2 linked regions of the Tribolium castaneum genome follow. The protein of the gene in region 1 interacts with the protein of each later gene in a biochemical or structural test. Links are inferred from orthologs where the notes say so. Each region holds a gene or a part of one and is shown on either strand. Other genes may lie near its edges.

Region 1 (3,660 bases):
TAAGGTTCTCTATGTCAGAACGATTAGTAAGAGGTGTATTTGGATTTGTAATAGGTACATTTTTAGTGATAATGATAATGTATCTGGAAATTTGAATAAAACGTATAAACCGATACAGCGTGATTCAAAAAAATCTTAGATCATCTTTTGCGCAGTGATAAAAGAGATACAAGTAAGTTAAAAGTTTTCTGCCAAAAAATTGTTTGATCTTTTTTTCATGTGATACCTATAGCTGTTCAAAGGTTCGATGTTTGTGTTAATTTTTTAGATTTTGTTTTCTTGAATTTAGTTAGCGGAAATAGTAGATCTTGCAACATTACACAGATAACTGTTGAAAAAAAAAATACGAATTTATGTCTTATGGTGTTCAAGACATTTAACAAACTAGGAAAATCGACAATAAATTGAATCCGACAACATTGGAAACAAAATGGCATCAATTAAGGCGGTTTGTAAGGAAAAAAATATTAGTTAACTGGAAAAAAGAAAAAACGTCTTCTGACACTATTTGGAAGCTCGTTTGACACTTTTAAATCACCTATATTGTGTGAAATAGTTACAGGCAAAAATAACTAAAATAGAAAAACAAAAATTAAAGCTAATTAACAAGCGCATCAGCTCTGCTAAAAGCATCATTTTCTATTATTAAAATAGTGCATTCTTAACACAAGAGGATCATAAAGTCTAATGTTCACATTTAAAAAATGATGTCATTTGAACTTTGCCTACACCACGTAGTATAAACTCGTCAGTCACATGAATAAATCCAAATTTAAGCAAAATCGTTATCTATTTTTTGAAGGGGTTTATTGACACGTGAATCATTGCTTTTGGATTTTCAAAGCAGCAGACTCGTGTCAAGCTTATCACGCGAGATTGCGAATGGTTAATATTTGTTTAATAGCTATTAGAAAAGTCGAACAACGATTTTGCAGAGTATTTAAACAGCCTGTTTTTGATAATGCTAATATTTAATGTTCCGTTAAGTGTGCAAAGATCCTGATAAAGAATGACTTGTAAACATTTCGAGATTAAATTGTTCGAACAGTATTAGAATGAAAATGCTTTTCTAATTAACTACTGTGCGTAGATTTTGGCACAATCGACGCTGAATAAATTTAACAAGAAATTACCATTTTGCATTATTAATGCTGATTTTTTCAAAAACGTGTCATTCATTCATGTCTTATTTGCATATTACTAACATTTCTAACAGTGACTCGGTTATATTCTTGTGTCACCGTTTGAATTGACTACCACGAGATCCATTCAAAAATTGCACGCTAATAAATAATGTATTTAAAACACTTGACTTGAAACGAGGATGATAAGATAGGCAAATCGGCTAATGACATCAAATTTAAAAGATCAATTACGAAAAGTTTGGGAACCAGGGGGTCCTCTTATCAGTCGCTAAAAATACGCATTTCCATTGCAGTTGTAGAATGGATGGAGACGAAGACAGTTACTGCAGCAAAAGCCATTCTCGCCAGAATGGCGTCCACGTGTCTGACTTGGGCGACATGAGTTTCATGATGTTGGATTACATCAAAGAAGCCATGAAGGTAGATGACTCGATAGCTCCTTATCAGAAATAATTTCGTTACTTTACAGGCCATGGACATGATGAGAGGTCATCAAATGTTGACCGACATAACACTAGAAGTTGGCCACGAAGTATTTTATGCACATCGAGTGGTCCTCGCCGCTGCTAGTCCCTACTTTAAGGCCATGTTTACTGGTGGCTTAAAAGAATGCGAAATGACGAGGATACCCCTTCAAGGCGTTTCCGCGACCGCGATGGCTAGACTAATACATTTCATGTACACCGGTAGGATAAGAGTGACGGAAAACACCGTGTGCCAATTATTACCTGCCGCGACAATGCTACAAGTGAGTATTCTCGTTATCACGCGGGTTTCGCGGAAAGGAGATAGCAGGGGGCAAAGTCCAGAGATCCTCTATTAAAACAGTTGGGACATTGGATGGCAGTTTTTGATTTTTTCATATTGTATCTACGTTTGTTTGCTTTTGCTTATACACAAAAGAAAAAATTTTCGCTAGAAAACAAAATGAATTCAATTTTACAGAAAATTTGTTTTCTTTGTTGTTGACTATAATAATAATTTTATTAATTTCTGTGGTATGCAATAAATACTACATATGAATAAGTAATAAAAGTTACAAGTTACCTAATTTTATTATTTTATTTAATTATATTTTTTTGTAGATTTTTTCTTTATTTAGGAGAATTTTACATATAAATTACGAAAAACTAAATCGAAAAGACGTAACGGAAACAAAATCACCTAATCTTCAAAACTTTTGTGGGCCGAAGCGTTTGACCGTCTTGGCACGCGGTGTGTTCTCGGTAAAATGCAAAATCTCCAAGTCTAATAAAGTATAAGAAATTTAATGCAAGTAATTTTGAAAATAATATCATATACAGGGTGTTTCAAGTTTTAGTTCCAGTGAAAAAATAAATACTTTTTGTTGCTCAAAGGAAATAAAATATATTTCCAACGATGGAGTTTCTAACACGCTTCAAATTGATGCTTTAATGTTATTCCAAATTTTTATAATATGGGTGAGAAATGCAAAAAACTACATTATGTTTTGTTTGTTTTTAAATTATGGCAATCGTTTTTTCTATAATAAAATTCCTCCTATTTTTTAAGTGAGACAGTGACAGTACAAATTTTTGTGAGTCAAGCAAAGACACGAGCTCTGTTTTCTCAAAGGTGACAAGATAAAACATTTATTTGGTCTAAATCAAATCAAATAAATCATTTGCCCCAAACGTCTTGCGTTTTTTACTATTTCAATTCCGGAATCGTTACTTAAAAAATAGGAGGAATTTTATTATAAAAAAAGATTGCAATAATTTGAAAACAAAAATTTTTTATTATAGTTTTTTGCATTTCACGCTCATACTATGAAAATTTGTTATAACGTTAAAGCAACAAATTGAAGCGTGTTAAATACTCTACCGTTTGCGATATTTTTCTTTTGGACAACTAGAAGTATTTATTTTTTTACTGGCACTAAAACTTGAAACATAGTGCTCAGAGACTGGCGCACCAACTCAGTAGTAGGTACGTTGTACGTTGTTGAGAAGCATGCGTAATTGTTCCCTAACAAAACGATGCATAATTATTTTTAAATTTAATATCAGACTTAGCAGTTTTTTGAATTTAGAAAAAATACAATTTAGCAAAAAAACACAGTGTGTAGATGTGCCAACACTGGGAATTATTTCCTAGGAAACCGTTTCAAAAATAATTTATCTTTATTGTTGATCAAGTTCTATTGCGTTGCGATTACGACCACGATCACGACTGTTAAACACCGTTGCCACATACCATTTATTTAATTCGTTATTTATCAATAACTTTAATACAAAGAATTTTTTAAATATTTTTATCTTTATATGTAAGCAGTTCTCTACCACCGAAAGCCTCACCACTGAGTTGGTGCGCCGGTTTTTGAGCACCCGGTATAGTTTATTTTTTAAATAATCAACTGTCAGTGTCAAAATTCTGATAAAGAGAAGACTGTATCACCCTAAAAGTGCATGTCCAACCACTTTTGAAACTGGCTGTATTCTGTATTTGACATTTTGCACACCAGATTTGACATTTTTGAACATTAGTGTGCATT
Region 2 (3,760 bases), on another chromosome or scaffold:
AGCAAAGATTCGGTAATAAACAATATAACAACAATTGTGGTAAAGACATGTTTTCATTATAATTTAATCGATGATAATAATGTAATAATGATAATGTAATGTATATATATATATATATATTTTTTTTTGGAATGCAACTAACTTTGAGAGAAATTGTGTTGTTGATAGAATGAGTAGGTAAGTTTATTAATGGTCAAGCTTATTTGCCTGTAAAGTATGCTATTATAAAGTAACTGCGAAAGGCAATTAGTTAACTTTAACAAACTAGTTGAGTTTAATGAATAATTGGTATTCTGAATATAGGTATGCCTTTCTTCCGATAAATGAGATTATTCACTTACTTCCAAGTATAAAAAAAATACCTATTGTGCGATTTGGACCTAAGAATAGTGTTGTATCCACGATTTCGTGATACTTCAGAAAGGGGAAATATTAATATACTCGGTGTAAAATTCAACAGATTTATTCTCTACAAACTTCCAACAACTTACAACGTTACAACAATTTACTTTTAGCTCTACATCGCGTCTCCTTCCCTCATTTTTGTGACGGTCCTTTTTAAGAAGGAAAAACTACCTGCTCCCAGAAGGGGGGCGTCACGAGCGGTTAAGGATTGAGGGTTGCACATTTAACAGGAAAGTGAAAGTTGTACATTACAACAATAGAAACAACTTACAGTACGAGTCAGCGTTAAGCAGCCATTTTCTCTGCGATATTTAAAAACCTTTACAAAAACACAAATTCAGATAAGCAATTTTGCCTACCGTACAACACGTGTTACAACTTCCTAGTGATAACAGTATAATAAATATAATTATTCTAGTTATTATGTAATTACTGCCATGTTTTGGACGCGAAAACAATTACAATATAAAAACCACGTGGTCGTGGGTCAGGATTCAGTTATTTGATTTACTTTAATTTTAGACACAATCGTTGAAAATAAACATAATGTCAGACGAATTACATTTTACTTATAACATTTAATAAATATCAAGACAATCAAGACTTACCTGTTAATCGATGCACAACACGCTCACGACGCTCACACGCTGCTACAAGGTGTCAACAGCTAGACACTGTTCCCACATGACAGTTGACCAGACAATTGCTGAGAATAAGGGAATAAAAAATGTAGAAATTAAATGCAGTTAAGTTTTAATTTGTAATAGAAACACATTAAAACGGTCAGGAGATGTTCTGCAAATGTGATATGCAAGTCACTGTAACAGCTTATTGATGTTTTTATTATGATTTGTCTGGTCGATTGTAATGTTCATGGTGCCAGCTATCTGGCCACCCAGGCCCGACTTGGCAACACCGCTGTGGCTCTTTTCCCGCCAAAACTCCTCCCGTGTTTTCGCCCGTTATTACCCGCATTTCCAGTGTTAAGTGCCCCATTATGGACCCCCAGGAGCTAGACCAGCGCCTCCGCGACATGCAGCACGAGTACTTGGACTTCCTCGATGACGAGGTACGAATTGGTGGTGTTGCCTTCCCCCCGTGTTTTAACCCCAAATTCCCGTAGGAGGACCAAGGCAAGTACGCCACACTTGTTAAAAACATGGTTGCGGACCACAGTTTGCGGCTTGTGGTGAATGTCAATGATTTGCGCCGCAAAAACCCGGCCAGGGCTGCCGCCCTCCTCACTAACGCTTTTGAGGAGCATTCGGCGTTTCAGAAAGCCCTCAAAGAGTATGTTTACACAGTCGCGCACGACTATGCCAAGGAAAACGACGAGTTTTTCATCGCCTTTGAGGGGAGCTTCGGCAATAAGCATGTTACTCCAAGGAGTTTGACTTCGAGGTTTTTGGGGAATTTGGTCTGTGTTGAGGGGATTGTGACGAAATGTAGGACTTGTTTGCGTCTTTCTTGCGTTACCGGTTGGTTTTTAAGGCTCGTTGGTGCACCCCAAGGTCGTCCGGAGTGTCCACTTTTGTCCAGTAACGAAAAAAGTAATGGAAAGGAAATACACTGATTTGACTTCGTTAGATGCCTTCCCCACATCGTCGGTGTACCCCACTAAAGTCAGTCGTGTCTTTTTTGTATTTTTTATCAATTAATTTGAGTGGTTTAGGACGAGGATGGCAATTTATTGGAGACAGAATTTGGGCTTTCGGTGTATAAAGACCACCAAACTATTTCCATTCAGGAGATGCCTGAAAAGGCCCCCGCGGGGCAGTTGCCCCGTTCGGTTGATATAATCTGCGATAATGACCTTGTTGATAGGTGCAAACCCGGGGACCGCATACAAGTGGTGGGGAACTACCGGTGCCTTCCCAACAAACAGGGGAGCTTCACTAACGGCATTTTCCGGTATTTTTCCCATAATTATTAAGCAAAAACATAAAAAAATAATTGGGGCCAAATTTTAAAAAGCTGGTGATTTTGGTTTTGGAACTAGAATTGACAGGACGCCATAAAACAATCATTACATTACGAAAATGTGTTTTAAACAATAATATAGTCACGTAAACAACACACTTGATCCGACTTGGTGCCCCACTGTCTTTATTTTCATTCAAAAATAGTTAACAATTAGTGTGATTTAGTCATTTTTTTGCCACGGGATTAATGTTTGCAGCACTGTGGTGATTGCAAGTAACGTGTCCCAACTGTCAAAAGAAGCAAATCCTTCCATTTCACGTGAAGACGTCGCCAAATGTAAAAACTTGGCCAAATCGAACAAAAACGTCTTTGAATTATTAGCCAAGTCTTTGGCGCCGTCAATCCACGGCCACGAGTACATCAAGAAGGCGATCCTGTGCCTCCTTTTGGGCGGAGTCGAGAAGATCCTGCCCAATGGGACGCGCCTAAGAGGGGACATAAACGTGTTACTGATTGGCGATCCCAGCGTTGCTAAGTCACAGCTCCTCCGGTAAGTCGACTCGATTTGTGAATCGTTGATTGTGATTGGCAGTTGCCATGGAGATACGTGTTATGCACCGCCCCTCGGGCCATTCCCACCACTGGGCGTGGATCGTCGGGGGTTGGTCTAACCGCAGCGGTTACAACCGATCAGGAGACCGGCGAGAGGCGGTTAGAGGCCGGTGCGATGGTTTTGGCCGATCGTGGCGTCGTGTGCATTGATGAGTTCGACAAGATGTCGGATATGGACAGGACGGCCATTCATGAGGTCATGGAACAGGGGCGTGTCACTATTGCCAAGGCGGGGATTCACGCAAGTTTGAATGCCAGGTGCTCGGTTTTGGCGGCGGCCAATCCGGTTTACGGAAAGGTGGGGTTTGATTGGTCGGTTGCGAAAGCAGCGATTTGATTGGGTGATTTGTAGTATGATCAGTACAAGACGCCAATGGAAAACATCGGGTTGCAAGACTCGCTCCTGTCGCGGTTTGATTTGCTGTTCGTGATGTTGGATTCAGTGGATGAGGATCATGATTTGATGATTTCGGATCACGTGGTCAGGATGCACCGATATAGGTATTTTTTTTTAGTAGGCTTGTGCGGACTACGGAGGACTGTGTGTTAGGAGGCGGAACGAGATACAAAATCGTACCCAAAAAATATAGTTAATTAATTTAAATCTGCAAATTGAACTTCCACCTCCAAGGGGGTTAATAATATAAATAATAAATAATATGACTTTAAAATGACAGATACAGTTAATTAAAAATAAATAAGTAAAAAAAAATTAATAAAAAATTATAAATACTAATTTTGAACTTGATAAAAATATTAGAAATCCGGGTGAGCAAGATGGCGAAGTCCTGCCAATGGGCTCAAGCGTGGACATGTTGAG

What was found.
Region 2: the proteins of Keap1 (region 1) and Mcm3 form a complex in vitro, tested with the Homo sapiens proteins (2 studies listed by BioGRID, with this or other methods). The link is inferred for Tribolium castaneum from reciprocal best matches to the Homo sapiens genes KEAP1 and MCM3.

What each region holds. Positions count from the first base shown.
Region 1 is NC_087395.1:20,692,973-20,696,632, forward strand, and holds part of Keap1 (kelch-like ECH-associated protein 1B), read left to right. Parts: intron 1-1,438; coding exon 1,439-1,565; intron 1,566-1,614; coding exon 1,615-1,893; intron 1,894-3,660. UniProt on the Homo sapiens protein: Substrate-specific adapter of a BCR (BTB-CUL3-RBX1) E3 ubiquitin ligase complex that regulates the response to oxidative stress by targeting NFE2L2/NRF2 for ubiquitination.
Region 2 is NC_087400.1:2,693,382-2,697,141, reverse strand, and holds the start of Mcm3 (DNA replication licensing factor Mcm3), read left to right. Parts: upstream 1-1,273; 5' UTR 1,274-1,402; coding exon 1,403-1,474; intron 1,475-1,528; coding exon 1,529-1,850; intron 1,851-1,896; coding exon 1,897-2,027; intron 2,028-2,077; coding exon 2,078-2,316; intron 2,317-2,584; coding exon 2,585-2,878; intron 2,879-2,931; coding exon 2,932-3,238; intron 3,239-3,292; coding exon 3,293-3,441; intron 3,442-3,700; coding exon 3,701-3,760. UniProt on the Homo sapiens protein: Acts as a component of the MCM2-7 complex (MCM complex) which is the replicative helicase essential for 'once per cell cycle' DNA replication initiation and elongation in eukaryotic cells.